3 linked regions of the Oryctolagus cuniculus genome follow. The main gene of each other region encodes a partner of the protein of the gene in region 3 in a complex. Links are inferred from orthologs where the notes say so. Each region holds a gene or a part of one and is shown on either strand. Other genes may lie near its edges. The genes, in order: MCM2, SSRP1 and SUPT16H.

Evidence for each region.
Region 1: the proteins of SUPT16H (region 3) and MCM2 are in contact, whole or in part, in a crystal structure (PDB 8YJF), measured with the Homo sapiens proteins. The link is inferred for Oryctolagus cuniculus from reciprocal best matches to the Homo sapiens genes SUPT16H and MCM2. Residues at the interface, in NP_009123.1 of Homo sapiens: Gln898, Ser899, Leu900, Asn901, Lys904; in NP_004517.2 of Homo sapiens: Ile73, Gly74, Asp75, Met77, Tyr81.
Region 2: SUPT16H (region 3) and SSRP1 share a complex: the UniProt entries of both Homo sapiens proteins name them as parts of the FACT complex. The link is inferred for Oryctolagus cuniculus from reciprocal best matches to the Homo sapiens genes SUPT16H and SSRP1.

Annotation. Positions count from the first base shown.
Region 1 is NC_091441.1:110,392,061-110,401,731, forward strand, and holds the end of MCM2 (DNA replication licensing factor MCM2), read left to right. Parts: intron 1-2,870; coding exon 2,871-2,964; intron 2,965-4,074; coding exon 4,075-4,325; intron 4,326-4,426; coding exon 4,427-4,553; intron 4,554-4,932; coding exon 4,933-5,045; intron 5,046-5,639; coding exon 5,640-5,888; intron 5,889-7,540; coding exon 7,541-7,723; intron 7,724-7,862; coding exon 7,863-8,018; intron 8,019-8,343; coding exon 8,344-8,454; 3' UTR 8,455-9,110; downstream 9,111-9,671. UniProt on the Homo sapiens protein: Acts as a component of the MCM2-7 complex (MCM complex) which is the replicative helicase essential for 'once per cell cycle' DNA replication initiation and elongation in eukaryotic cells.
Region 2 is NC_091432.1:14,781,096-14,791,254, reverse strand, and holds the start of SSRP1 (FACT complex subunit SSRP1), read right to left. Parts: upstream 5,764-10,159; 5' UTR 5,676-5,763; coding exon 5,622-5,675; intron 5,191-5,621; coding exon 5,005-5,190; intron 4,028-5,004; coding exon 3,922-4,027; intron 3,670-3,921; coding exon 3,479-3,669; intron 3,390-3,478; coding exon 3,159-3,389; intron 2,627-3,158; coding exon 2,523-2,626; intron 2,419-2,522; coding exon 2,290-2,418; intron 2,061-2,289; coding exon 1,839-2,060; intron 1,151-1,838; coding exon 1,078-1,150; intron 662-1,077; coding exon 523-661; intron 418-522; coding exon 372-417; intron 1-371. Other genes in the region: P2RX3 (P2X purinoceptor 3), read left to right, coding at 8,215-8,333. UniProt on the Homo sapiens protein: Component of the FACT complex, a general chromatin factor that acts to reorganize nucleosomes. The FACT complex is involved in multiple processes that require DNA as a template such as mRNA elongation, DNA replication and DNA repair.
Region 3 is NC_091443.1:53,549,550-53,559,928, reverse strand, and holds the start of SUPT16H (FACT complex subunit SPT16), read right to left. Parts: upstream 6,594-10,379; 5' UTR 5,878-6,593; coding exon 5,812-5,877; intron 1-5,811. Other genes in the region: CHD8 (chromodomain-helicase-DNA-binding protein 8), read right to left, coding at 7,514-8,080, 9,938-10,054. UniProt on the Homo sapiens protein: Component of the FACT complex, a general chromatin factor that acts to reorganize nucleosomes. The FACT complex is involved in multiple processes that require DNA as a template such as mRNA elongation, DNA replication and DNA repair.

The sequences.
Region 1 (9,671 bases), on a different chromosome or scaffold from region 3:
GCAGAGGGCACACGGGCAGTGTGGGCATTCGCGTGTTTGCTCTGCTGGCGCCCGGGAAGGCCTGCCTGGCACCGCCGCGGTGTGTACAGGATCGGCCTGGGCTTGGGGACTCTGCCCCGCATGGGAAGCAGGATGCCTGCCGCCCTTGGGACTGAGGGAGACGTTACCTCATCCTGCAGGGTTGCCCACTGCCAAAACGACAGCGGGCGGTGTCCAGGGGAGAGAGGTCAAGGCTTGGAGTCTTAGCCCGCCCAGCAGGGGTGCAGGCATGTGAGGAGGCTGTCTGCCCAGTGGTCTCCGCACAGTGAGCGTCTAACAAGAGAACTCTGTACTCGGTATTTGCCTGGAACGGTCGAGGTGATTTCCACGTAGTGCCAAACGCTGGAGGTGTCCTCTGGGCCCGTTTTGCTGACGAATACACTGAGGCACAAGGGGTTAAATAAGGATTTCCACCTTGGCAGTCGGGGAGCCCGTGCTCCCTGGACTCTCACGTGGCTGCTTCATCCGGTCACCACAGCTCGTTTTATTTGGTTACGAGGAGGTCCCTGGGGCACTCCATAACGCAAGGCTTAGTTCACACTGCAGAGCTGGCTGTCAGAAAACTTCATATGCGTGTGGAATGGTGTCATGAATTCGTCTGTCTAGTCCATTTTGTGCTGCTATAGCAGTGCCACAGACTGGGTGATTTTTTCGAGAGGCAGAGGGGGGGGACAGCATCCATGTGCTGGGTCAGTCTCCCTGCCCGCCCCGTGCCTGCAGTGGCTAAGGCCAGGAGTCAGGAAGTCAGTCCAGTCCACAGGAGTGGCAGGAACCCAGCTGCCTGAGCCGCCACCTGCTGCCTCCCAGGGTCTGCGGCAGCACAGAGCTGGAGCCAGGAGCCAGGGCCAGGAGTGGGACCTTGGGACTCCAGTGTGGGGCAGAGGCAGCTTGGCCACGAGGCCTAACCCAACCACGATGCGGTTATCACACTCGAGAAACAGTGAATGATTGGGACTGTGTTAGATGTCTCTGAATGTCTGACCTTTAAAAATCGGTGTGGGGGCTGGCCTTGTGACGCAGCGGGTTAAGCCGCAGCTCGCAGCCCTGGCGTCCAGTCCTGGCTCTTCTGCTTCCAGTCCACCTTGCTGCCCGTGGGCCTGGAGGCAGCGGATGATGCCCACGTGCTTGGGCTCCTGCCACCACGGGAGATACCTGGCTCCTGTCTGCAGCTGGTCCACCCTGGCTCTTGCAGCTGTCGGGGGAGTGACTGTGGACATAGGATTTCTCTCTCTCTCTCCTCTGTGCCCACCTCCTATTCCCCCCAGCACTCTGCCTTTCACATACATAAATCCTTAAAACGTTTGTTAGATGTTAGTGGCTTCTTGGAGCCAGCTTCCAAAAAGGGCCCACGGTGATGACTGATTTCTAAAGCTCATCTCTGAATCTCGTCATCTTCAGGCCGCTGCTTCTCCCTACTCCCCTTCAGTTGTTTGGGAGACACTGGGTGGTCTCCCCTGCTGAGTCTCCCAGAGTCCAGATGTTGCTGACCTGTGCTGGCTGAACACAGGCCCCGGTCACCTGTGCGTCAGTAAACTGGCGTCAGTTAGAGAAGCTGAGTCAGACTCTGTTTGGTTTTCATTCTTTCTGTGTGGGGGCCCTGGCTCTCACGGGCGGACTTCCTTCTGATGGGAGTGGCCACCAGGGACGGGGCGATCCTTGGCCAGGGCCACTGGGTCACGAGGAGTTGCCAGAGGAGGCTCACTTGCCGGGAATCCTTGGCAAGGAGGAGCGTCTTTGTGAGCTGTGTTTAACACCAGGTCGAGCCCCAGGAGGAAGCGCAGGACGAGTGCTCGCTCGTTCCTCTTTGATTTGCCAGTTTGCAGAATGGCGAGTTGGTTCTGCAGCGTCCTACGACGTGAGTGGCGCGTCCTTACTGAGTGGCGCTGTGGTCTGTCTTGTGGTTGCCATCTTCACTGAGCTCAGAGTGGCCCGTTTTTGTCGTGTTGGATTCGAAGAGTCCTGCTGACCCCACCCTGGTTGTCTTTGAGCTGCCTCTCTGGGTTTCTGGCAGAAGATACCGTAGGCTGCTCTTGTACCTTTCCCGCTCAGACCCGGTGTCGGCCACTTCTCCGAGGAGTGGGAAGTCTTCAGTGGGACGCGGTGTTCAGGAACGTCTGACTTGGCAGGTGGGGTGGGCCTCCTCTTCCACCGTCACTGCCGGTTTTCTTCTTCGGTGCCCTCCTCCCCGGGGCCCTGGTGCCGTCTGAGCTCCTCCTTGCTTTGTCCTGGAAGGAGGGAAGTGTGGGGATTCCGTGCTGCTCCTGCTGGCCGGGATGGGGGTGGGGAGGTGGCACCGAAGGTCAAGGTTCAGCTCTGCAGCTCCTCCAAGCAAGAACTTTGATGCCTCTAATTCTGTCTTTAAAACTCACGCAGATTTGCGTTCTCTCTCCTGCACACACCCTCGAGAGCTGTTGCAGTGAGTTGGCAGTCTCAGCCTCTGGTGGACACAGCTCCCAGATGTGCAGTCTTGGTCATTGACCGTGGCCCAGCCATGAGCCAGGCACTTGCCTGTCTCTCTGCCACGTGATGACACAGGCTGGGGCGGGGCAGCGTGGTGAAGACCCCCCGCCCCCGTGTCTGTTATGGGCTGACTTCCGCCACATGGTGCCCTGCTCTCAGATGCGGCTCTCGCCTCATCTCCACTCTTGATCTGTGGTCTTGGGAAATTACTTCCTGGCGTAAGAGAGTAAAGGGGTCTTTGAGTCATGGGTCTGTGGTTGTCTGGTAGAACTGATGGGAAGGCCCCGCGTCGGGGCAGGGCCTGGTGGGCCGGGTGCCTGAGAGCTGGGGCCAGAGCGAGCACTCACATCGGTGTCCCTCCCTGTTCTCAGATCTTTGCCAGTATAGCGCCTTCCATCTATGGCCATGAAGACATCAAGAGAGGCCTGGCCTTGGCTTTGTTTGGAGGGGAGCCCAAAAACCCAGGTGAGTGGCTCGGGCACTACCCCTTCCTCTCCAGGGCGCTAGCGGCTTTTGCTCCGCCAGTGTCTTGGGGAGCCAGCACTGTGGTAACAGGCAAGGCCACGTGGGCGCTGGGTGGAGAGAGTGGGTCAGGCTGTGTGTGTGACCCGCTCACCAGGAGGGAGGACAGCCCCTGGCCACTGCTCCTCAGGCTGCTGGGGGATCCAACTCCACGGCTGCCTGCCCTTGTGCTTGGAACAAATTAGTCTTTGCTTCTCTCTTAGGTTTAAGCTTTAGCTACAACCGTAGCATAGAAATCTTTATTTTACATTTTGATAAAAGATGAGCACACACTGCCCTTTTTTTCTTTTTGATAGATTTATTTATTTGAAAGCATTACAGAGAGAGGTAGAGACAGAGAGGTCTTTCACCTGCTGGTTCACTCCCTAGTTGGCCCATATGGGATGCCGGCACTGAAGGCTGAGGCTTTAGCCCGCTGCACCACACCGCCTACCCTAGACTGCTGTTTCTCGCCCCGGGTCCCTCCCTGCCGTAGGTCACTCCCAGTCAGGTTGCTGTGTGTGCTCCAGGCCCTTGTGGCAATGTTAACCGATGTGTGCAGTGAACAAGGGGCTTCCTGACATACGTGCGCATTGATATTTGCAAACGCAGGCTTCCCTGTGCGTGTGCCCCGTGCCCTGCCCACCCCGACACACCCAGCTGACCTCCCCCCTGCAGCCTGCAGAGCAGGCTCATTCTTGAGTCTCCGTGTCCTGGTCCGTATAGCATGGTTTGTTTAGTTCCGGTTGAGTCTCCGTGTCCTGGTCCGTATAGCATGGTTTCTTTAGTTCCGGTTGAGTCTCCGTGTCCTGGTCCGTATAGCATGGTTTCTTTAGTTCCGGTTGTACATTTGAATCACTCACTGCTGTGCACACTCACATTCACAAAGGATGCCTTGTGCAGGCTGCGTCCCCGGACGTGTTCCTCAGGGTTAAATGCTCAGAACGGAAAGACTGCTGGTGGGGGCCGCCCCTCCCTGTCAGGGGGCTGCGCCTTTGCCATTGCTAATAAGCAGGTTGAGGGGTGGATGGGGTGCACCCATCTTGCCCCCCACCCGCCCCGTGCCTCTTCCAGGTGGCAAGCACAAGGTGCGGGGGGACATCAACGTGCTTCTGTGTGGAGACCCTGGCACGGCGAAGTCTCAGTTCCTGAAATACGTTGAGAAGGTGTCCAGCCGGGCCATCTTCACCACCGGCCAGGGCGCGTCAGCTGTGGGCCTCACAGCCTATGTGCAGCGGCACCCCGTCAGCAGGGAGTGGACCTTAGAGGCCGGGGCGCTGGTTCTGGCCGACCGAGGAGTGTGTCTCATCGATGAGTTTGACAAGGTGGGTCCCTGGGTGGCGTGGGCCTCGGCACTCGGCTTGGGCCCGCCTGAGACCGGCGGTGGGGGCTGGGCCTTGCTAACGGTTGGGCCCTCGACTGGCAGATGAACGACCAGGACAGAACCAGCATCCACGAGGCCATGGAGCAGCAGAGTATCTCCATCTCCAAGGCCGGCATCGTCACCTCCCTGCAGGCCCGCTGCACCGTCATCGCCGCCGCCAACCCCATAGGTACCCCGCGGGGCAGCTGCTGGGCTTGGGGCCTGCCGTGGGGCACTGGGCAGCATGGGGTCCCTTCCGCGCGTCTTATTGGAGAGGGCAGGAGGTCAGAGTGGAGGCACGGGTGTTTTTGTAGAGCCCGCGTCTTGGACCCACCGTGGCTGTCCCCGGGAGGGGGCATCGTCTTAGCTGGGGCAGAGCTGGGTCTGAGCTTGTTAGACTTGCTCTTCAGGCTGTTTCAAGCATTGCTTGTGGAAAGAGCACTTTGCCTGATGGACAGTAGGTGCTGCGTGGCCATTCCGTGTCCTCCTTCCCTCCGACGCCCTCGTCCGCTCCCCCTCTGATGGAGGCTGGGGGCACTCGCTGTGATGCAGGGTACCCTGTGTTTCAGGAGGACGCTATGACCCCTCACTGACCTTCTCTGAGAACGTGGACCTCACGGAGCCCATCATTTCCCGCTTTGACGTCCTGTGCGTGGTGAGGGACACGGTGGACCCGGTCCAGGTACAGCCGCCTCTTCTGGGGTTCTGGGGCCCTCGTGTGAGGCTTAGGGCCGTGCAGTGTGCCTGGTGCAGGGAAATGGGCACTGCGCGGGCGTGGCCTGCTGTCCAGTGTTGTTCTCTCGGTCTTGTGTCATGTCCAAAAGTCCTGACTTCTCTTTCTTCCACCGGCCGCTCCCTGGCTGCCCTCCCAGCCTAATCCTCAACCTTGCAGTGAGTCTCTGCCCTTAGGCCTGAGAGTGTAAGTTGCTTATCGGCCAGCTTGTGGCTTTCCACTGAGATGAGAAGCCGTGGCCGTCCCTCTCCTGCCGGACCCTGTGAAATCTGGGCTGTCGCCGGCCGGTGGCGCACTGCCCGCACTGCTCCCTGCCTCTGCTTGCACCCGCCTGCTTCCTCTCCTTCCTGTCTTTCTTCCCGGCACATGAAGCTCTCTGTCCTGGAAGTTTGGAACTCCTCGCCTCCTCCCAGCTGTGTGACATCTCCCAGCGGGCACCCGAATCTGCACCGAGAGGGTGTGACGCGTGCATTGGTGAGAGGCCGTCGCTCTGCTCGCACACGCCACTCGGGCTGACCCCCCCCCCCTTCCTCCCCACCGTAGGATGAGATGCTGGCGCGCTTTGTGGTCGGCAGCCACGTCAGACACCACCCCAGCAACAAGGAGGACGGGCTGGCCAACGGCAGCGCCGCGGAGCCTGCCCTGCCCAACACGTACGGCGTGGAGCCGCTGCCGCAGGAGGTCCTCAAGAAGTACATCATCTATGCCAAGGAGAAGGTCCACCCCAAGCTCAATCAGATGGACCAGGACAAGGTGGCCAAGATGTACAGCGACCTGCGGAAGGAGTCCATGGTGAGGGGTGGCCTGTGTGCTCAGTCCCCAGAGCACGGGGCAGGAAGGCAGTGCAGAAAGCGGCACGTCTCTGTGGTCTTGGTCTCTTTTACGCCATTTTCTGTAACAGTACCCGCGACTGGGAGCTTGGGAAACAGAGGCTCTGGGACCTGCTGGTGGTGATAGCGGGTGGAAGGAAGGGTGAGAGGTCACTTAGCGGGAGGGGAGCGGAGAGCCGGCTGCCGAAGCCTTGCAGGAACCTGCTGGCCCCTGCGTTGATCCCTCCTGCCGGCTCACTGGTCTACCAAAGGCACCCCTTCCCAGTATTACGCCAAACCATGGCATACGCCTGCCTCGTGGTAGGGCCAAGGTCTTTGGATTGACCAACCGTCATCCTAAGTCAGCCACAAGACTCTGACCTTCTCTGGTTAAATTCCACATCGGCTTTGCGTAAATCTCACCCAGATCAACGTGAGATCTGAGCTCCAGGTTTCATTTTAGTTCATAATGAATGGAGCAGGAATTCTTTTATTTCCCTTATTCCTTTCATTCTAAATTTTTGTTTATTTACTACTTTATTTTATTTGAAAGGTAGAGAGCCACACAGAGCTCCTCCGTCTACTGGTTTACTTCCCAGATGTCCATACCACTGGGGCTGGACCAGGCCAAAGCCAGGAGCCCAGAACTCAGTCCAGGTCTCCCGCCTGGGTGGCGGGGCCCCATGCACTTGAACCATCACCTGCTGCCTCCCATGGTGCCCATTTACAGGAAATTGGAATTAGAAGTGGAGCCAGGACTTGAATGCTGTCACTCTGACATGGGGCGTGGGTGTCCCAAGTGGTGTCTGAAGCACTGTGCCAGATGTCCACCCTGGGAGGAAGAATTTCAGGGCAGCTCGTAAGCAGCTGGGATGCAGAATCCTCGTGGGTGGCTCTTCCTGCCCACACCTACTCAAGGCAGCCATGTTTTTTTGTTGTTGTTTTTGCCCTTTAGTTTTACCATGTCTTTCAGAGCATTCAACTCAGTTTTCGTAGAAACTACTTTTTTTCTCAGTGACATTTCACTGGGTTATGTGGTATTTGGTATGTGACAGTAGATTTTACAGCTGGCCACAGATAAGACCAGCTCTGAGCTGTGTTGAGGTCGGATGGGGGAGCAACCCCTTGCAGATGTGAGCGGCCAACATGCACTGCACACCTTCATGTTTTAAGAAAGACCCAGAAGGGGCTGGCGCTGTGGCATAGCGGGTAAAGCCATTGCCTGTAGCACCAGCATCCCATACGGTTACCGGGTTGAGTCCTGGTTGTTCCACTTCTGATCCAGCTCTGCTGTGGTCTGGGAAAGCAGTAGAAGGTGACCCAAGTCCTTGGGCCCCTGCACCTGTGTGGGAGACCCAGAAGAAGCTCCTGGCTTCAGATTGGCCGTTGCGGCCGTTAGGGGAGTGAACCAGCGGAAGGAAGATTTCTCTGTCTCTCTCTTTCTTTGCCTCTGCCTTTCAAATAAATAAATAAATCTTTTAAAAAATTCAGACAGACAGAGCTGGGAGCATGAGTTGGCCTGGCGCCTTCGCTCTGTGAGATAAGCCTGCCTGGTTCTGGCTGCCCAGAGTGCCCCCTCTGCCTGTCCTGCCTCTCCTCCCCCCCTGAGAGACCCGACGCCGTCCTCCCCCGCAGGCGACGGGCAGCATCCCCATCACGGTGAGGCACATCGAGTCCATGATCCGCATGGCCGAGGCCCACGCGCGCATCCACCTGCGGGACTACGTGATCGAGGACGACGTGAACATGGCCATCCGCGTGATGCTGGAGAGCTTCATCGACACGCAGAAGTTCAGCGTCATGCGCAGCATGCGGAAGGTGGGCGTGGAGGGGGCGTGGCCGCGGGCCAGCTCGGCCCGGGAGGCCGCGGGTGGCCGGCGCCCTGGCTGCCCGGCGGCGGCCTGACCTGGCGCTGTGAGGCGTGGGGAGCGGCGCTTGACTGTGCTGTCTCCCGCAGACTTTCGCTCGCTATCTGTCGTTCCGGCGGGATAACAACGAGCTGCTGCTCTTCATATTGAAGCAGCTGGTGGCAGAGCAGGTGACTTACCAGCGGAACCGCTTCGGGGCCCAGCAGGACACTATCGAGGTGCCCGAGAAGGACTTGGTGGACAAGGTATGCGCATGGGTGGGAGGTGGGGGTCGGGCTGTGCTGCTTTGGGAGCTGTTAGTGACATCTTGGGGTCGTTGAGCGGACCGGCCTCTGATGATAGCCGTTTGTTGAGTTTTCACAATTCCACGTGTGTGGCAGCTTGATCTTGTCTCATTTCCTAGAGGCAGAGAAAGGCACAGGGCCACCAAGGAACTTGTCCAAGTTCCACGGCAGCGGTGGAGCTAAGATTGGAAGCCTGGCTCCCGGCTCCGGCCCCGTGGTCGCTGCCCCTCCGGGTTCCCCTGCTCTGGGGACACGGCCCGGCTCACTCCGCGTTTGCTCTTCGCAGGCTCGGCAGATCAACATCCACAACCTGTCCGCCTTCTACGACAGTGAGCTCTTCAGGATGAACAAGTTCAGCCATGACCTGAAGCGAAAGATGATCCTGCAGCAGTTCTGAGGCCCGGGGGTTCTGGGCCTGGGGAGTCGGGCCAGGCGCTCAGTTTTACGGACTTTAGCCGAAGCCACTGGCGCTCAGAGGGTGCTGAGGCCACGGTGTGCAGCCCTGGTCTCCTGGGCTCAGGTCGTGTCTCGGAGGGAGGGTATTTATTTCTTTGGCTTCGCTTCCTGCTTCTCTCACCTTCTGGGTGGGCAGACTGCCAGCGTGTTAGAAGCTCAGTAGGCCGCGCCCACACCAGTGTTGTCTGTATATAGCACCTTGCACCACCAGAGTGCGCTTTAGGGGAATGACCGTCCCTGCACTGATGTCGGGAGAGCTGTGCCTTTCACCTTGGGTTTTGTGTCCACACTTGATTCTGCCGCCTTTGGCCACAGAGCAGTGTAGACGTCTCTGTTCTTTTTCACAGCTCTGTCCCGCGGTAGGGGAGCACCGCCCACCAGCGCGTGCCTGCGGGGCACCTGTGTGCTGCGGGCGTGGTGGGGCTTACATCCCCTGGCTGGGGCACTTGAGGGAATTGGATTGGGACATGAAGAGTCTCCATTAGCCACGACTGTCAGCCAGCGTTGCTATGCTCATCTGTTTCCTCGTTCTCCTGTTTGTACATGCAGGTCTGTTTCTAGAGTTTTAATTTTTAATAAAGAATTCCAAGCACTGGATGTATCCGTTGGCCTCAGTTCTGCGTAGTATCCCAACCCGAGCTTCCCCGGGCTTCCTTCGAAGGCCTTTTCCATCGTTGGCCTTTGGGTTTTGTAGGAAGTAGGGCAGATTAGGAAAGCAGCTTTGTGAATGTGGCAGAGTAAGAAATCACATGGACCTCCCTCAGGAACTCGGTGTCGGTGCTGTCTGTGACGTCTGAGTGGAATCCGTGGGGATCCAGGAGCAGGCGTGTGTGTGGCGGGACCGGGGGAGTGCGGCGGCATTGTCCTTTTCCGCAGTGTCGCTGGCTTCCACACCAGAGGCGCTCAAGGGCTGAGCTGCTGGAGGGCCTGGTCCGGGGTGGGGCTGAAGTGTCTCCTTGCTCCTCCTGCCTTGTCCAGTTGCGCCCTGGGGAACTTTCCAAGGTGCATCTGTTGGAGGAAAGCCCTGCAGATCCTTAGGGAAAGTGAGTGTCTGGGTCCCTCATCATTTCCCAACACGAGTAATTGCCTAAGAGCCTGCTAAGCACCACCCCTAGGCGGCCAACAGGCCGCACGTGGTTTCCTTTCCTCGCCCGGCCT
Region 2 (10,159 bases), on a different chromosome or scaffold from region 3:
TGAAGCCAATTACTATTCCGACTCTCCAGTTCCATGAAGTTAGACAAATCCCCAAGTCCAAGTCACATTTCTAACGCTGGCAATCCAAAGTCCTGCCCGAAGGCTACCACTGCCATTTCCAGGTGAGGAGGCTGCAGCCAAGGACTTATCCAGGCACACCCAGAGAGTAAACAGGGAAGCACCAGTTCTCGTTCCTGTCCTCTCCCCCACTGTACCTTTCCTGCTTCAAAACATGCCTGCACTTACTTATAAAGCCCTGACAATTCTGAAACATTTTCATGTATCACCTCACTGGAGGTCACTTTCCTACTCTGGGTCAGTGGCTAACGCCAGGACCTGAGAAACGTCCAGAAATCTTAACCAAAACTCACTCCTCTGCCACATCTTCCTCCTCTTCACCTGGGTTGAACGACTCATCTGCAAAAAGACACAGGATTCATCAGCTTCTGCCCCAACGGAAATCTCACTCCCTTAACCCTGGCACCCAGCGACCACCCCATGCCCCAGCAGAGGCTGGCCCACCAGTCTCTTCTCCTGAGTCATCGCTGCTGTCGTTGGCATTCTCTTCCCGGATCTTGCCCTCCTCCTTCATCCTCTCCAAGTAGGCATCATGCTGATCTTCATCAGAGTCTGCGTATTCGTCGTAGCTGGGGTTCATGCCCTGTCCAGGGAAGAGATGCAAGTGAGGCCCAATCTGCCCTTGAATCAGACTCTGCACACTCACAGCACTCCCCCATGCCTGTAAAATCAGAAGCAGCTCCCAGGAGTCCCTGGGGCTAGCCTGTCCACACACAGCCAAGGTGCAGGGCCTGTGCCCATATACTGCCTGGCAACTGGGTTAGCCCAAGCCCCTCCCACTCCCAGCCCCACAGTGGGGGCTCTTGCGAGGCTGCACAGGCTGAGTCTAAGGTCATGCAGAGGAAACCTGCATCAGGAAGGGAAAGGGTCACACGCACCTCTTTTTTCTACAAGGGTAAGAAGAGAAGAGAGTGAAAAAAGAAGCCAGAAAAAAAATCTCTCCCTTTTCTCTCCTACAAAAGGGACCAGGAGAGCCCCAGCCTTCCCACACAGAGATACCTCTTTCAAGCCTCGGTTTTTGATGTTGAGCTTCTTTGCGTTGACAAAATCAAACAGCTTCCCATACTCCTCCCTGTGAGGGGAGAGGCACCACGTCACCAGCTGAGTAGGGCAAGACTAAACGATGCTCAGATACCCAGAAGCTGGGGTGGACTGTGGGCCTGGAGCGCTGAGCCACACCGTCGACCCCAACAGCTCAGAGAGCAGCCTCAGAGGACAGCAGCCAGGAAGAGTCACAGCTGAGTCCTGAAGGAGGAGCTCTTGAAGGTCAGGACGGACGGAGGTTACCTGTTCACCAGGTACCTACACTGCAGGCTCAGACTGTCCGGGCAGGGGGCCGTGCACCTACTCCCTGGCCTGTATTTCATGCTTCACCAGCTTGTTACTAGGATTAACCACGAAGACGTTCGGTAAAACATTTAGCCCACAGGGGACACTCTACACTCAGGGGCAGTGTTCTCAGACAGGAAGCTCACTCCAGGAAAGACACAGCGTTTCCATCACCGGCAGACTGGAGGAGAATCAGGGCTGGAATCAAGTGCACGCGGCTTCCACATAGGGAAAATAACCTTCTTTTGAAGAACAGAAAGAAAGCAAGAGAGGCTTCCAAAGTCTGAGGACTCCAAGGAGAAGGATCAAACCTCAGAGAAGCAGAAGAAAGAGTCACGGGCCCAGAGAGGGCCCCAGGCCCGGCCAGGCTTCCCAGGGGAGGCTGGGTCAGGACGGGGGACACCCAGGCAGTGACTGGGGGAGGCTCTCACCTCTCAATGCTACTGAAGGTGTACTGAGTGCCCTGCTTGGTCTCAATCTCGAAGTCAAAGGAGCGCGTGGTGGTGGTGCCACGAGCAAAGTTGACGAAGGAGATCTCATCAAAGCGGATGTGCACGGGGGGCTTGTGGACATAGATGAAGCCCCGCTCCAGCGGGTACAGCAGTCCTGAGCTCGCCTTGTAGGAACAGGTGATGCACTGGGCCCCTGAGTGCCTGAAGGAAGGAGCAGGGGGCCGACTCAATGCCAACCTCAGCAAAGCCAAAGGGCCCAGCAGGCAGCTGCAACACAGGTGAGCTCCAAGCCTCAGCCCGGTCAGTCTCACTCGGCTGCTCCAACAGACACCAACCACCGTCACGACACGCGATCCCATCTGCGAAGGGGTCCGCCACGGAGAGGGAGCATTTCCCTTCCCTGGACAGGGAACCCGGCTCGCATGCTCACCCTTGGAAATTGCCCGGCACTGTGATCTTGCGGTTCACCAGTGCTTTCATGACCCGGCTGACCATCTCGTAGAGGGATCCTGACATGTTCTTGGTGAGCCGCCCCTCAAAGCGCTTCTCCACCTCTTCCCTACAAACAGAGCAAGATCACATCACCGGCATTAGAGACTTCTGCCAGCATCATCTGCCTCCTGCCTGCACAGCGGCAGGACGGGAGTCCAGGGAGACACTCACTCATTCATGTTCAGAGTCAAGGAGATGTCCTCGTCCTTGGAGAACAGGAGGATCAAGAAGTGGTAACGGGTTTGGCCCTGCTTGATGGGAGGATCCAGGCTGATCTGATAAGGAACAGCAGACAAGGTTAAGCACCAGGCGGGGCTCCACCAGGACTTCTGACGGACCAATAGTGAGACCTGCACCTCAGTGAGACCCAGTCACAAAGTCCTCAGACAGGCCGGCGCCGCGGCTCACTAGGCTAATCCTCCGCCTAGCGGCGCCGGCACACCGGGTTCTAGTCCCGGTCGGGGCGCCGGATTCTGTCCCGGTTGCCCCTCTTCCAGGCCAGCCCTCTGCTGTGGCCAGGGAGTGCAGTGGAGGATGGCCCAGGTGCTTGGGCCCTGCACCCCATGGGAGACCAGGAAAAGCACCTGGCTCCTGGCTCCTGCCATCGGATCAGCGCGGTGCGCCGGCCGCAGCGCGCCAGCCGCGGCGGCCATTGGAGGGTGAACCAACGGCAAAAGGAAGACCTTTCTCTCTGTCTCTCTCTCTCACTGTCCACTCTGCCTGTCAAAAAAAAAAAAAAAAAAAAAAAAAAAAAAGAAAGTCCTCAGACAAAAATCGGGATCCTCCGCCCCCAGGGGCTCTGCTCACCACAAAGAACATCTGGCGCTGATCCTTGTGGGGCAGCAGGAAGAGACGCAGTACCGTGGTATAGGGGATCTTGTAGTCAAAGGTCTTGCCGTGCAGGTGCAGAAAGGTGGGGTAGATCCGGATGTCGTAACGACCACGGGGAGTCAGGCACTGCAGCTCCCGGAAGATGCAGATGGCGTCTCCAGTGGCCTGGATGACGTCCGCCTTGGACAGCACGTTCTGGGCAAAGGCCTGCCGAAGCACACACTGTTAACCCGGCAGCAGGCCAGCCCATGGCCTGCTCAGCCCCGTCTGCACCGGGGCGCCTGGGGAGGCCTCACCTCCACGGGATCCACGCCGTCCTCCTGGGTGGGAGGCACGTAGAAGCGGACCTCCATGAGGGACACCTCCGCGTCGTCGTTCTGGTGGAATTCCAGCGTCACCTCGTTCTTGCCTGTGGTGCACTGGGACACGTTGCTGAGGGGTATCTCGAAGACCGGCTGGTCACCAATGTCAAAGGAAAGCAGCTGCCCTGTGAGAAGAGGGCTGCTCAAGCCTCAGGCTCCCCCCACGTCTGCATCGACAAGAAGCCCACCGAACCTGGAGTTCCGTAAGGGCGGGGTGCCGGGGCTGTTTGTTCACGCTGCACCCCGAGACCAGGCACAAAGCCTGACACACCACAGGTGCATTGAGCAACCCACCCGACAGGAAACCGGAGACTGTGGCAGAGGAAGAGAATAAGAAAGGCTGCAGCCCTTGATCCTACCTGCTCCCCAAGACTCACCTCCAAACTTCACCGTCCCCCAGTTCCAGCCCTTCACACACAGGTCCTTCTCCATTAGCTCAAGGCGATAGTGAGTTTTGAAGAAATCAGAGAGTTTCTCAAACTCCTATGAGTGGAAGGGAGAAAGTGCAACCACAGTCAGCTCCAGTGGCCTTAACCGACACGAATGTCCTGACATTACCTATATCCAAAAAATTGCCCCAATAGGACTTCTACCAAAAAATCCATGCAGGGAGCTGGTGCTGTGGCACAGCCTGCAGTGTCAGCACCCCATAAAGGTATTGCTTCAAGTCCCAGCTGCTCCACTTCTGAACCGGCTCCCTGCTAAGGCGCCTGGGAAAGCAGAAGATGGCCGAAGCCCCTGGACCCCTGCACTCACATGGGAGACCCAGAAGAAGCTTCTGGCTCCTGGCTTCAGCCTGGTACAGCCCTGGCCTTTGCAGCCATTTGGGGAGTGAACCAGTGGATGGAAGATCTCTCTCTCTCTCTCTCTCTCTGTAACTCTCCCTTTCAAATACATAAATAAGTCTTAAAAAAAAAAAAAAAAAAGTCCATGCTGACTCAGCAGCTCAGCTCTGAAATGGTTTAAAAGGTTGTGGAGAGAGGCTGCTCCTGGGAGCTGGACCTCAGACTAGGGGAGGAGTAAAGAGAGGGACTGGCATTCCTGTTTCTGGACCTCACCATGTTATCTGACTTCCTAAACTTTGTGTGTTCATTGTTTTAATAGAAGTGGACATTAAAGTTAAGTCTTTCACTCAGAACAGTTTAAGAGGGAAAAGCAAAGCCTGAACTAAAGCATCCAGCTAAGATTCTGAACCTGGATACGAGCAAACAAGCAGAAAGCACGATTTAAACCAGAACAGTAGGAAGCAGATCTTCTGGAACCAAAACACAGAAAAGCTGTGAACGCTCTAGAACACTCAGAGCTGACCCACTGATTGCTCAATGGCCTCAATGGCCCTGCCCAGGGAGCCAAACCAGCACCACGGGGGCTACCAGAGGGAACCTCAACTCCCTCTAGAAGACTAAAAGCAGACAGGATGGCACGGTAAAAAGGGGGCTCACGGCAACAGGGCGTCTCACCGATTCTCGGAAGCCGTCATACTTGTAGACGTGGCCATTCTTCGTGAGCAGTTTAAGTCCGTGGCCGAGAGCCACCCGGCGCCAGATGCCCTCCGTCAACTCCCCAGCCTGGATGTTGTCTACTTTGCCCGTCTTGCTATTCTTGAAGATAATTCCCTGGCGACTCAACCTCAGCCGACCGTCATTCTGTTGGGAAAGTGAGCCCAGATGCACGGGGACAGTACAGACCGTGTCCTGGGTGCAGCTCTACCCAGCATTCACTTTGACTGCCAGGTGATCAGGGCAGGAGCAACAGCTGAAGCGAGGACCAGTAAAGAGACACAAGTGTCCAGGAAGTCTCGGTTCTGCACCTGGCTCGGGCATCCAGAACCTGCGCAGGCCATCAGTCTCCTCGTTTGAAACACAGAATAGCAAATACGGTCCCTTCACACCCTGAGATCCTACAACTCTCGCGACTTTTCAGAATTGCCTTTTATTGGGGGGAAACACCAGGTGCACGTTATACAGAGACTTCCTTTTCCCAGTAGAAACGTCACCAGGACAAGCTCTCGTTCATGTACATCAACTTTAGCTCGCTCCCTCCTTCCATCTCTATTAAAAACGCAAGCCCTTCTCACCATGGAGCCTTTCACCTCCTGATAGACATCGTTGAACTCCAGTGTCTCTGCCATGTTGACCTGCCCCTGGTGGCCTGGGCAGAGCCCTAGGCCTCACAAGGGAAACCGAATACACTGGGCGCTGGGCCCCAAGTCCTGGGTGAGTGTGCAGATGGTCAGCAGGTTGGGAATCTGAATTCAAGAGAGAGTCATGAAACGCAGCGCCGCGCTCTGCTCACGGATGGAGCCAGGTGGCCGCCCCTGGGGGTTCACAGACTCTCCTCTGCCCGGGAACCAACAGGCCGGCTGTGCCGTGCTCCGGGGGTCAGCCCCGGTAATCCCAGGCCCGCAGAACCACCCCAAGCCAACACCCTCTCTGCGCGCCACACCGGGAGCCATGGTAACGAGCAGCGGAACCCCAAGGCCTGCCCGCAGCGTGCACATCTCCCGCGCCCCAACCCAGCTCAGAGCGCTAGGTTCCATCCTGGCCCTCATGGTTCTCCCCTCCTGCTAAAATGGATTCGCCCGCTGCCTGCAGATTCGAACGCGGAACGGCCCATTCGGAGCGTCCCGCGGGGGAGCGGGGCCCAGGGACGACGACCACCCACCTCCTCAAGCTGCAGCCTCGCGACGGGCCGGGCGCGGGCGGTGGGCGCTTCGGGGGATGCGGGGGAGGGGGGCGGGGACGCGGGGAACGGGAGTTAGCTGGGGAAGCTTTTCCCGCGTGCGCGGCCCCGCGTCCCGCCACCGGAAGCCGCGCACTGACCATCGAGAGGATGAGCTGGCTAGAGAGACGCCAACCAGGCCCGCCGCAGAGACAGTCGCCTAGAGCGACGGCGACGCTGGAGGACCCGAGGCCGGGGCGGTAGCGGTGAAGTCCGACTGACTAGAAAATGAAGGCTCATCGGGCTTCTTAGAACGTTGCGGACACGTCAAGCGGAGACTGGATCCTAAAGGGAAATCGTGTACCGTGGCTTTATTTTTGTCAGATTTCGGAGGTTGGGGGGTTAATTTCTGTAGGGGTTAATTTCTAGGGGTAGAAAGGAAGCTGTGGAACACGAAGAAAAATACCTCAGAGTTGCGGAGAGAAACGCGTGCGGGCGTTCGTGTCCTTTGTGGCAGGCCTGCTGGCCGGCTGCCCCCTGCTAAGTGGGATTGATCCTTTCTGAAATGAGTTCACCGTCTACACCCAAATTCTGCACCTCTGTAACCGCAGTGGCGCTGGTAGTGACTGGCAAATGGCAGGATCGAGTTCGAGCGCTGGTGTCGGGTTCACCTTAGAGCCAGAACTGATTGGAAACCACATGAGCTCATCTTGGAAGAGGTGCACCTTGCAAAATCAGAGCCGGCCTGAGCTGGGAGAGAGGTTTGGAGTTTATCTCCTCCAGCCTCCTGCGGAGAGCAGTTGCCCAGCGGCTCTGGGAGTCGGCCACCCAGGTGGAGACAGGAAGCCGCCTCGGACTCCGGTCCCGTTCTCTTCTGCTGTAACCACAGTGGTTTTACGTCCCGAGCCACTGAGCCCATGTGTCCTGCAGAAAAGCATTCGTTACACGGGATATTTAAACTCAAGATTTCCCTGACGCTGGTTACACCAGCTTGCTAACTCAGTCCTGGGATAAGAGACAACACACCGTTGCCCCCACCACCACCCCAAAATCATGGCTTTTAACCTCTGGGTAGTGGCTATTCTAACATTATCTGAATATAAATTCAGTGTACCGGGGGCTGTAATTAATCCAACACACTTCTAGGATTTCAGTGAACAAGCTGAAAACAACTCCAGCCTTCCAGGGAAGCATAATCCAACAAATGACCTGAGAGTGTGTATATCCATATAACTGCTATATATATATATATATATATATATATATATATGTATGTATATGTATATATAACTGCTGTATAAGTTTTATATATATATGTATATATAACTGCTATGCTACAGGTAGAGCTTTAGCTGTGATCAACTGCAGTTTAAAAATATGTGACTCTATGCTATTTACTCCCTCCCAAGAGATCCAGGAAAATATTGAAGACACACCCTCCCCCCCAACTCATGCTGTTGGAGGCAACTCAGGGAGGGAGGGGGTGGCTGCAGAATTGGGTGGAACGAGACAGGCACTCACAGATGAAAGGGGCTACCCAGTTCAGGCGGATTATTAGGTGGCTGGGGGATGGGGCATTTGCAAGGGGCTTTAGGGAGAGCTCACAGCAGCTGGTGAGCTGGGATGAGGATGCAACAGAAGAGATCGGAACAGAAGCGATAGACAGAGTGCAGATAAAACACGAGTCCCAGAGGGCCCTAGCCAGCTGCATCCCAGGCAATCAGGAGCCCAGGCTTGGAGACCCCACCCCTGCCGTGACATCACAGGAGAGTGGGGTGGAGACAAATAAAAAGGGGGTCCCCCGCCCTGGCCCTGGACTCTTGGCAGCCAGAGTGTCAAGAGCAGAGAGAGCCTGGGCACTGGGCTGGGGTTGTCTGGCTTAAAGGAACAGGTTTCCCATTCCTGGAGCCCCTCTGAGCTACCTGCTCCAGGCTTCCTGGCCCCGAGGACCTGTCTTTCCTGAGCTGCCATTGGGCCCCTTCCCAGGGGCCCCTGAGCTCTCTGGCAGCATGAACTGTGTATCAGACTTCTTCACCTATGAGACCACCAAGTCGGTGGTTGTGAAGAGCTGGACCATCGGGATCATCAACCGAGCCGTGCAGCTTCTGATCATCTCCTACTTCGTGGGGTGAGTCTGTGACCCTGTCCTGGTGTCCTGCCCTCCCTCCATCCCACAGGGCTGCTCTTCAGGTTTACGGGCTTTGCCTTTTGGGGGAAACATTTTGCACTGTGCAGCCACTTCCTACAGACTAGCGTCAGCCCCACGCACTGGGATCTGGCCCCCAGGTGAATACTTTTCCCCAGTAAGTCCTCCAGAGTTGGAGAATGACTTCTAGATCCACACTCCAAGGAGTGGGGTCTTTGGCCTGGCACTGCCCTCCACCGGGAGCAATCCCAGGTGGCCCCTCTCCTCTACTTTCTCTCTCTCTTCCAGCCACCCCCCCACCAGAGAACAGCCAGCCCCTCCCCACATCCTCCCAGTCCCCTCAATCAGCTCTTTGGGGTCTCAAAAAGGCGAGGGAGCCTGGGGGAGGCCTGGAAACAGGGGAGATGGTAAGGATTGGTCGGTTGATGGGATTCATGGTGGGTGAGAGGGAGGGAGAACCGCTCTGCGTTGGGACGAGGAACTCCCCTCCTGGCATGGGGAGACGGTGAGAGGGCTTGGAAAGGGGAGAAACCCTTGTTCTTGGAGGCTAGGACAAAGATGGAAGCTGCCCCCTGAGGTGGCACAGATAACCACTCAAGGGGAGAGTGTCTGCAGAGGAGAAAGGTAGTGTTCCTAAACAGAGTGGGGGTCCCTCTGCAAGAATCCAGAACTGCCCGTTGTCAGACAGCACAGTTTCCCTGCTTCTGCCCGCCTTGGTGCCTGATAACCCAGCCTGAGCTCCTGGCAGCTGGCCAGGCCCAGACAACCCCTCCCGGCCCCACCTCTTGGAGGCTCACACCTCCATACACACAAAGGGCCATGGACCAGACAGCAGCTGGGGGTAGCAAGAGGGAGGCAGGAAAAAGACAGGTTCTATCTTTCTTGTGGTCATTTCCACGTAGCAGTGGGCACCTGAAAACATGGGCAGAACCTCAGAAGTTTTCTTTTCTGGTGTGTGTGGGTGCCTAGTTTCACAATGCTTCTCACAATGTGTGTGAGAGCAGCCAGGGATTGCCCATCATGAATGAATTCAGGCAAGCGATGGAGACATCCTGAGTGTGTGTGTGTGTGCAGGAGCCTGCTTACATGAAAGATCAGAGTAGTGGGTAAGGATGTACGTGAAACAATGGGAAGATATTATTTTTAAGCAAATTTTTTTTGCTCCACATGCTTGACAAAAGCCCGTAGGCTTCTGTTTGAGGATACTGTAGCAAGGGTGCGCATCCAGTGCTCCTTGCAGGGCTAGCAGAGTAGCTTTGGGGAATGGTTGAACAGCCTGGTATTCCCTTCCAGTACTGAGGTTTGGTGAGATGTGATGTTTGCTGATGTTCTGCATCTGTATCTCCCGAGCACAGTTCAAAGTGGGTTCTTAAACATCCCATGTTTGTGTGTTTGCTCAAGGCTGGGACCATTTATAGCCAAGAGACAGTGTGCTGGGCCAGGTGAGCGCAAAAGCTGTCTCAGCACATCCCCAGCCTGGCTGGCTCCGTTGGCTGCAGCCGGGAGTCATGGGAGGTAGAGATGCAGGCTCCTGGACAGCCGCCCCTGCTCATGTTTCCCCCTCGTTAGCATCAGTGCACGGGGCTGCAGCAAGCATGCGAGGCTCTTTGGCATCTTGGTTTCCAGCCCCATCCATCTCCCAGCCTGACAGCTCCCCACGGAGCAGTGCCTTCCGGTTACATCCGTGCACTCTGCAGTCTAGCCCTTTGGCCTGAGCCCATCCATCTCTGGACATATGAGCCCATGCACTTCTGTGACTTCATGAACCTGTCATAGTAAATTCAGAAAAAAAAATGTAGCCAGTATCC
Region 3 (10,379 bases):
ACACATAAGGGCTCAGAAAACTATATTCTATGTATTCTTGCCTAAGAAGCTCTTAGAAAAAATGCTGTAAACAAACCGTGGATTCTAGGGGCAAGCACTGTGGCACAGCGGATTAAAGCCATGGCCTGCGGCATAAACATCACATACAGGGGCCAGCTGGAGCCCTGGCTGTTCCACTTTTAATCTAGGTGTCTGGTGATGTCCCTGGGAAAGCAGTGGAGGACCCCTGCACCCATGTGCAAGACCTGGAAAATGCTTCTGGCTTCAGCCTAGCCTGGCCCTGGCTGTTGTGGCCATATGGGGTGGGCCAATGGATGGAAGAGCTCTCTGTCTCTCCTTCTCTAACTCTGCCTTTCAAATAAATAAAATCTTCAGGAACAAATGAAAAATAACAGTAAAATTCTGAGTGTAAGGATTTCAGAAGAATTGATAACATTAAGACAGACCTATTGGGGGAAAGCTAAGGCTAAGGAGATTAAAAAAAAAAAGGGCAATTATTGTCAGAAAAAATTTAAAACTGTAAGGAAAAGGAATTGTGACATTCTCTGAGCAGTGAAGATACTTATATAAGTAAATGATGTGAATGCAGATACTGATTTTTCTAAAAACTGTGCAAAAAAAAACTTATTAGCCTCTGGGGCAAGTAACTTTTTTATTTTAAGGCTTTTCTTAGAACTATGATTTTTTGTTAAAAAATATATGTATTGGGGCTGGTGCTGCGGTGTAGTGGGCTAAGCCTCTGCCTGTGGCGCCAGCATCCCATACAAGTGCTGGTTTGTAACCCAGCTGCTCCTCTACCAATCCAGCTCTCTGCTTACAGCCTGGGAGAACAGAAGATGGTCCAAGTGTTTGGGACTCTGCACCTGCATGGAAGACCCGGAAGAAGCTCCTGATTGGCCCAGTTCCAGCGTATGTGGGGAGTGAACCAATTAAGACCTCTCTCTGTCCCTCTATCTGTAACTCTACCTCTCAAATAAACAAAGTCTTTTTTAAAAAATTGTATGCATTAATTAAAATGATTTTTAAGATGAGAATCAAATAAAATATTGTAATACAGGTGATAAGGAATTGGCAACAATTGTGAAGTTGGGTTTATTTTTTAAAAATTTATTTATTTGAAAGGCAGAGTTAAGACAGAGAGAGGGAGAGACAGAGAGAGGTCTCCCATCCCCAGATGGCCACAATGGCCAGAGCTGAGGCAAAAGGAGGTTCATCTGGGTCTCCAACTTGAGTACAGGGGCCTAAGCACTTGGGCCATCTTCCAATGTTTTCCCAGGCCATTAGCAGGGAGCTGGATCAGAAGTGGAGAAGCCAGGACTCAAAGTGGCACCCATATGGGATACTGGCACTGCAGGCAGCAGCTTTAGCTGCTACACCACTGTTTTGGCACCTAAACTGAGACAATTTTGGGGCCAGTGCTGTGGTGTGGCAGGTTAACACCCTGGCCTGAAGCGCCGGCATTCCATATGGGTGCCAGTTTGAAACCCGGCTGCTCCACTTCTGATCCAGCTCTCTGCTATGGCCTGGGAAAGCAGTGGAAGATGGCCCAGGTCCCTGAGCCCCTCTACCTGCATGGGAGACCTGGAGGAAGCTCCGCCCCTTGTGGCCAATTGGGGAGTGAACCATTGGGTGGAAGACGTCTCTCTCTCTGCCTCTCCTCTCTCTGTGTAACTTTGACTTTCAAATAAATAAAATAAATCTAAAACAAACAAACAAACAAACAAAAAAACAAACCTGAGATAATTCTAACAATAAATGACTTATGGTTGTGGGGAGCAGTCCGGACTGGACTGAGTTACTGGAATTAAGACTTATTCTATGCATCTGCTCTCCCACAATATGGCGCTGGGAGAGAAGTAAACAGCTTCTGCACAGCTGCCTCCAGTTCAACCAATAAACTGTGGGGCTTGCTCCTGATTGGAGGAGAGCAGCGTACTCGGCGTGTGGGCAGCCGAGTTGGGATTGGCAGAGGAGGACTATAAAGGAGGAGAGAGATGGCATGCACCAGGAACATCTAAGGGGAACATCTGAGGGAACACCTGTGCAGCCCCCGAGAGAGCCGGCCGGCGGTGTGCCGCTCCCCTGCGGAAGTGGGGAATGTGGCCAGGGGGAACTGCCCTTCCACGGAGGTGGAAGGGATAGTAGCCAACCCGGGAAGAACCAGCAGCAAACCCGGGGAGGGCCGAGCAGACGAAAGAACAGCGCAGGGTCCTGTGTCGTTCCTCCACGAAGAGGGGGAGCGACATAATGGTGCCGTGACTCGGATATGAAGCCTAGGCAGGGCTTAGTGTTGTTCCTCCACGAAGAGGGGGAGCGACAATGGTCACATTAATTAGCGCCAGAAAGAGATATGCCAAAGTGCAGAAATCAATTATCACAGTTTCTCATAGTTCCTATGCCAGGAACGAGTCAGTAAAAGGGATAAAAACGAAACATAATAAGTATGTAATTAGGGGCTGGCCTGCAGTGCTGGCATCCCATATGGGCATCTGTTTGTGTACTGGGTGCTCCACTTCTGATCCAGCTCCCTGCTAATGTGACTGGGAAAGTGGTGGAAGATGGCCCAAGTGCCTAGGGACTCTGTATCCATGTGGGAGAATGGGATAAGCTCCTGGCGTTGGTCTGGCCCAGCCTTGGCCATTGCCGCCATTTGAGGAGTGAACCAGCTGGTGGAAGATCTCTTTCTCTTGCTCTCTTCTCTCTCTCTCTGTGACTCAGCCTTTCAAATAAATAAAATCTTAAAAAAAAAAAAAAAAAAAAAGTAAAGTATTGAGGCCGGTGTTGTGGGACTGTGGGGTAAGCCTCTGCCTGCAGTGTTGGCATCCCATATGGGCATTGGCTTGAGTCCTGGATACTCCTCTTCCGATCCAGTTCTCTGCTATGGCCTGGGAAAGCAGTAGAAGATGGTCCCTGGAAGAAGTTCCTGGCTCCTGGCTTCGGATTCACTCAGATCTGGCCATTGTGGCCATTTGGGGAGTGAACCAGCAGATGGAAGATCTCTCTGTGGCTCTATCTCTCAAAAAAAAAAAAAACTTAAAAAAAAAGAAAAAGTATGTAATTACACTACAAAAGTTAGGTGAGCAGGAATAAAAATATCCCCGACTTGGCATTTACTTCCATCTAAAGAGCCCTCTTTATTCAAGAAACCATAACATTACTTAAAGGTTTCTTGCTTCTATTCTAAAGATAAAGGAGCTGTAAAGAACTGAGATGGGTGGACATAATCCATCATCTTGCTGGAGGACAACCATTGACTTTCTAAAAGTAATACAGGAATTGTCTATATTAAAAAAATAATCCTGAGTCACAGAAGATAGTTGCCTAGTCTTAGAAAACTGCCCAGAGCAAGAAACCGCACCACCAGACAAACCAGCTAAGAGCTAGAGGACAGCACTCGAGAGAAGCACCGACTCTAAGCTCAGCTTACTGTTTCTTCACTGGCACAAATCTTTTTGAGGTCACAGTCACTCACTACCCCAAACCTGGGAACTGACATAGAACGGCACGAATGAATGCACTAGATCAACATTCCTTTTGAAAACAGCTGCTATTCTGACATTTCTGGTAATTCTTCATGAAGATTCATTCGTTCAGAGCAGAAGGTCCTAAAGGGTAAGTCTCAAAGGATTAATAGGTATGCCTGAGTACCATACTCTTACCCTTCAAAGCAAGTGGAGTCTCAGAAGGGTAGGTAATCTGTTTTGTGTTCCACAGAGAACAGTACTAATCCCACTACTTGGTTAAAAATTATCAAAATAAAGGCTGGGAATCCCTGAACAAGTTCAACTGGACAGGAAACCCACAACCCTCTTCCATGATCCACCACTACCATCTGGGATTTTCTAAGCAGAAATGGATAGGTTCCATAAAAACTATTCTGTTGTTAGCAGCTCTAACATAGAAGAAGCAAAGACTGTACTGGATGAGATGCAAAGGTCCAACAAAAGTCACAAACAGTAGTTGTTATGTAGGTCTCCTATTTGATTTTGACCAAACATATTTTCTCATCTTTAAAATGTCAGCTCTCTGTACAGGGTATCATATCCAGGGGTTTAACAAACCATGCATTGAAAATATCTGAGGGAAAGAAAACTGCTTCTGTACTGAAAATGGACTTTTTGGTTATCATTCCCTAAACAATACAGAATAACAACTATTTACAGACTATTCTGCTGTGATAAGTATTATAAGTATTCTGGAGACAACTTAAATCACACAGGACAATGTTCATGGGTTATATGCAAATACTACCATATTTTATATAATGGACTGAAGACTATTAGATTTTTAGTACTTGTGAAGAGGTCCTGGAACCAGGCCCCCATGATACTAAAAGATGGAATTATTTATTCAGACATAGGCTTAACATTTTTGATGTTTCTATTCAGTTCAAATATGTGATACTGCAATTGTTTTCAGGTCATAAGCTATGAAAATTTTAACTAATATTTGCAATAACCCAAAAAGGAAATAATTTGAGGAATTCTGAATTACTAGCACTTGAACCAATTCCCACATCAAAGGTGTTAATTCCAGGGCTCATAGGTGGAAGAGGGCTTCTAATTATTACCATACACAAGTACTTATTCATTAGAAAATATTGAGACTTTACAAAGCTTTTCAAACAGACAACTTTGAGTTATAAAATTGTGAGAAGTTGCAAAATCTGCTAGCTAATAAGAAATTTTAAAAACATAATTTACATTCAGCATTTGTCTAGCATAGAGTTCTTCTGCTTTTCATAAAATACAGCAGTAAACCCATTTTCAATTATCTAATGCATTTATCTTCAGAAGATAAAACATGCACTCAAATTTCTAGTATGAATGGCAGGGAAATAACCCATTTTCACAGCCGCCTTTTAGTAAAGGTTTAACTGTTAAGATAATCTACAATGTTGGAATCAGAATTGATCACGTTTGTCAAAGACGTTTTTCAGGTCTAATATAAGGCAATATTCCTTCCCTTGACGATAGGGTTCAAAGGTAAGACGCAAGCTGGACAGCTTAGGTTGAGCCACAGAATGCAATCACACGTTCAATTAATAAACATCATAAAAATAACTTTTAACTGTGGACGTTTTAAAAGCAGCAACATTGCCCAGTCTTTACAAGACCAGGGACGGCCACAGCTTTTACTTAACACGTGCCTCGGATACACTACCAAGAAAGAAAACTAGTAATTAGGTTTGGGCTTCACAGCGTTGTTTTTCTATTACTAATGCCTGCAGGTTTTCAGCGTTAGATTTCTGTTACCAACGGCAGGGCCTAGAACACGAAGCAGTTGCGCGTGAGCAGTTATTTCTTTTTTTAACTCCAGCAGAAGCCCCGCAAACGATGAACACGAAGAGTCAGATGCACATCCTCCGTGCCCCTCCACCCCTCCTTCACGAACACGGTTGTAATTCTGGCGGGACCAGGGGCGGAAAACCGTGGCTCTGGAGGGACAGAGCGAGTGCGTGGGTGCGTGCAAAATCGCAGGTGGGGGCACCGAGACGTGATCGCAGGGCGGGAGGGAAGGATGTTGCCTCGTCTAGGGCGGGAAGCGACGGCGAGAGGAGGCGGTTATGCATGACCGGGGCTGGCACGCGGGGAAGATGGTGGTGGCCGCAGGGCAGGGCGACTGCGGGGGATACCCTGGTACCCTGCAGCACTCGCAGGCGCCTGCGGGGCATGATTCAGGGCAACGAAAAGGGCGCGACACTGAGCCTGGGAATTCCTGAACGAAAGGGAAAAAAGGGCGCCGAGAAACAGGGTTATTATGGGATGGTTGAGGGGGGCTCCCTAGGGAAAATCACGGGACTTTTCTTACCCGCCAATTGCTGTACAGTCTCTTCACCCGCCGATAATAAGCGTCTTTGTCCAGAGTTACAGCCATAGCCCCGGACACCGCTTCTCCTCGGGTTTCGAGAATCACGCGAGGTCCCGGCTCCGCCAACCGCTCTCGGCCCCGGAATCCCGCACTCTCCCAGTGACCCGGAAGTATCGACCTCAAAGATGCCCTTTCCGCTTCCGGGTCCTGAGTGTTTGTTTTATTGTTTTGTTTTTTAAATTCTCTCTCCAGAGAGTCGGGATAGGAGGAGAGAAAGAAAAAGACTGGGGAAAATCACCAAAATGTGCAAGGCGAAAGGAGTCGATTTTCGCGGGGTTTCTGGTCAACTTCGCCAGAGCGCACGCCATGGACGTCATCACGTGACGCTTTGCCCCCGCCCTTACTCTCACCCCGCCGCGAGCTCCCGGAGCGCCTGCTTGGTGGAAGCCGCAGCCGCCCGGCGAGGCAGAAGCGGCGCGAGATCTGACGTGCGCGCCCCGCCTCGCAGGAGCTGCCGCGCGGGGCCGTGACGGCCCCACCCCATCGGCAAAGGCGGGGGAAGCGGAAAGAGCGGGATCTAGCGTGAGATAGGAGAGGGAAGACGACCGTGCCACCGGCTACGCGCCTCTGCCAGAAATGGTGAGGAAGCACTGCTTTAGGGCAGGGAAGCTCCTCGGGGCTAGGACGCTAGGTCCAGCGCTCCTCCGAGAGGGCTGAGGCGCCCAGCCTCGCGACAGATTACAACGCGTGCGAAGGGAGAGCACTTGGCCACAGAAAGGAAAATAAAGTGCCCAGGGTTTATCTGAGCGGTGGGATCGTAGAAAGGTGGGAGGTTAACAGAGATGGCTTGAGGGCTCCACAAACCTTCATGGTTTTTTCTTATAACCCCGAGCCCACGTCGTGGGAGCATCGTTTCAGTTAGTGCCCCTCACTGCGGCTCATGAGAAGCGGCACCATTCCACAGCTTCCCCCAAAGCACCACTATTTCAGTGCAGTAGGGAGAGAATGTACGAGATTCTTGACAGATTCTTGGTTCTCCTTTTCCTAAGAACGAACTCGGAAGTTTGAAACATTTTACCTTTCACCTTAAATCATTCCCTTGTGTTTAGCAAGCTGGGCATTTGCATTTACATATGGCATGAAGTGTTCGGTCCAAGGTAATTTAGTATGAACAGTGCTAACTTCAGGGAAGTGGTGTTGAAGTTACCCACCATGAACATCATCTCAAAGTCAGTACTCATCCTGAGCAAATATAGAACAAGGGAAGAGTGGAAAAGGATTAACTTAAATTTATTAATGCCAAGGGGAAGGAAGGTAACAGTTCCTGACCCTCCAGCTGTATCCACAGTTCGGCCAGGAACAGGCTCTGCCAGAGGCGAGGGCCAGCGCTACATAGTCTGTGGTTAATGGAGGTGTCTAGGGAGGGGTGAGCGCACCAGCAGCTCTAGTCTCCTTTCCTTCCCCAGCAACGAGGAAGTGGTCATGTATTATTTTAGGAGTTCCCCTGCCCACCCGATCCTCTCAAAATTGGGAGCAATCAGGTACAGGTTTTTTTTTTTTGTTTTGATTTTTTTCCCTTTCCACCTCCTGGAGTCCTGGGTTTCCCCACATCTCCCCTGCCCCTCCCATTTCTTCATAGTCCAAGGGCCAGAGTAAATGAAAATACAGCAGCCACCCAAGCAATGGGGACCATGCTGAGGCTTCAGTCATCAGCATCTTCACTGGAGTCTGAGTTGGCTGGCATCATAGGGTCATCAATGAGTGAGAAGTCCCTTTCTGAGCTATCATAGCCCTGAGATAAATCATCATCATCTTCCTCATCCTCGTCGTCGTCATCCTCCTCAGGTTGCAGTGATGGCAACCGCAAGGCAGTACCAGAGGTGGTAGTCGCTGGTGAAGAGGGGTAGCCAGTGGCTCTCAAGCCTGGATGGTGATGGTGGTGATGGTGGGGGTGGGGGTGGTGGTGGTGGTGATGAAGCATGGTGCTGGAGTCTACATGAGGGGATGATGCTGCACCACCCATCACAAATGGCATAAAAGGCAAAGATGCAGAAGTGGCACTGCTGTGACCCAGAGATGACACAGACTGTAGGCCACCACTGCTGTGTTGGAAGGTGTTATGTAGAGATAAGGACCCAGTGCCTCCTCCCTGCATCAGGGCCATCATCTTAGAAAGGTCTGGTCGCGTCCTGCGGGCCCGCTTCTTGCTGCTCTCTGGTGCAATAGGCCCTGGCAAAACCCGGTTGAACACAGTTTCAGCATGGTGACCCTGAGAGAAAAAAAAACAGAAGACAGTAAAAAGAAAGAAGGGGCAGGAGAGAGAGGAGAAGATAAAGATGCCAGCGGAGTCCTAGCTCACAATTTTTTTTTTACTGAATCTGTCATAAACGAGGTAAAACAAGTATTATGGCACTAGGCTTGTCTAGTGGTAATGGGGAACAGGAAATAAATGCTGGACTCAGCTGGTGGAAACTATGATGCTGAAGCTAAGATTAAGGATTTGATACTGATATGTGAACCAGAGATTATTGCTTTTTCCCCCCAGGGACTATATTATACCTTTACTCCAGCCAACCATTTCAAATGTGCAACTTTTGTTAATAAGGGGTATAGGTAAGGCAGTGAATGAGTCAGCACATGCACACTTAAGTGTCTATTGAAGCAGGTTACTCTCATGATCTTAATACATGAAGTACAGCATGACTATATTGATATTTACAGTATTACTCTCTAGTATTACACCTCAGAGGATAAATTCAAGACAGTCATAAGGAGACTTCTACATACCTAGAACACTAAAATAATAGGTAGCTCCTCACCATATTCATATATCTGCTGAATTTTAAATGGCTTCTTCTGGATGGTTCTGACTACAGATACTGATTAAGTTCACTGAAGTTGGAAATTATTACTTTTAGTGCCTCTGCTTTGTTACTTGCCTTAGCACAACATGGGGTTAACTGGGATTAAATGCTTATAGCAACTGGTACCTCTCTGCACTGTTTCCCAAGCTAAGCCTAACATCTAATAAGGGAGCATACCTTTATAAAACAAACATCATAATATTAGTTTCTATGGATTTTTTAAATAAACTGTAATAACGCTTGAACTCTACAGGTCTTGGTAATAACAATGCTAGATTCACTGTCAATTCTGCACTAAGAATTCTGTACTGGTCAAGTCATATTATGTGCTGTGACTTCCTGTGATTTAGCCTTTCTTAAGGTTGTCAACTGACCTTGTAAGGGAGTTGCAAAAATACTTGGGATAAAAATAGGCAATACTGGAGGAAAAATCTTTTTTATAGATTGTTCTATACAGTTAAGACAAAGATGGCATCAGTCTTCCAGCCCCCAGCCTTTCCAATATCAAACATTATACGTATTATACTCTTGGTCTCATGGTGGCTAACAGTGAAAATTAAAACATCCTACCACAGTAATATTTTTACCTATATAAAAATGATAAGCCTCAAAAATCTATTATGTGCTGATTTTAGAATTTCTGCAATATAAAACATTATTAATTTGAAATTAATTCTGTTAAAAGATCCACCATGTGGTGTTAATAGATTATATAAAAATCAAATGGAGAATGGTTAAATCAAGTACAAAGATACATGTTCATCTAGATAACTGCCAGCAAACCAAAGCATGATCTATACATATATGCATTAAAAATGTAACTGCTGCACAGAGTAAGGTCATTTTAGCCAAAAGAAAAGTTTGCAGTAATATTTTAGTGGAAAGAAAAACTATGGATTCTTACTATACCAAGTGGTCTATAACCATGATAAAAGCATAACTAAATCTGGGAATTCTGAATGACCCAATGACCAAAATTCTCATTATGATTATAAAACATGGTTTCCTGTGCTTTTTCCATTACTGATATTTTAGTGGCTTCTAATGTTGTATATTGGGAGACCCCATGTTTTCCTTAGGAGGGCCCCCATGTCACTTCTGAAATATATCAAACAATTATGGAAAATTCACATTATCTTTTAATCTACTTCTCCATCCACTTTCTGAAGCCCCTTCAGAATTTTGAAACTTTTAAGAGATTACCTACTCTAGCTTTGTAATACTGCAGATACCATCGGACAGAATGGCAACGCTCATCTCACCTTTTTGCCATTCCTAGAGTTAGCTGTCTGTATTGGTTCCATTCCCAAACAGTTCAAGTCAGCTTTATTATTTTTTTTACATCTCTGCCACTTCTGTTTTCTGCGATCCTCCATATACTGGAATAGAAAACAATGGATTATTCCAGAGGAACTAAAATATTCTCTGAAGTAACTATCAAAGTATTAGTGTCTTTTGTTTGACAATAAATGTTTTATTACACAGATAAAGGATTGATCCTAGTGGAAAACTGCCATTAAATGAATCTCTCCCCCTCCCCCAAATTAGGTGGTTCATATAATAATTTAATAGTAGATATTTAGCTAGCATTTAGTTTAATAAGTGCTTTAACATCCTTTCACTTTAATACTCATAACTATTTTGTGAGGTAGACTGGGTATTATTACTCTTATCTTGCAGATACAAAAACAATGATATAATATG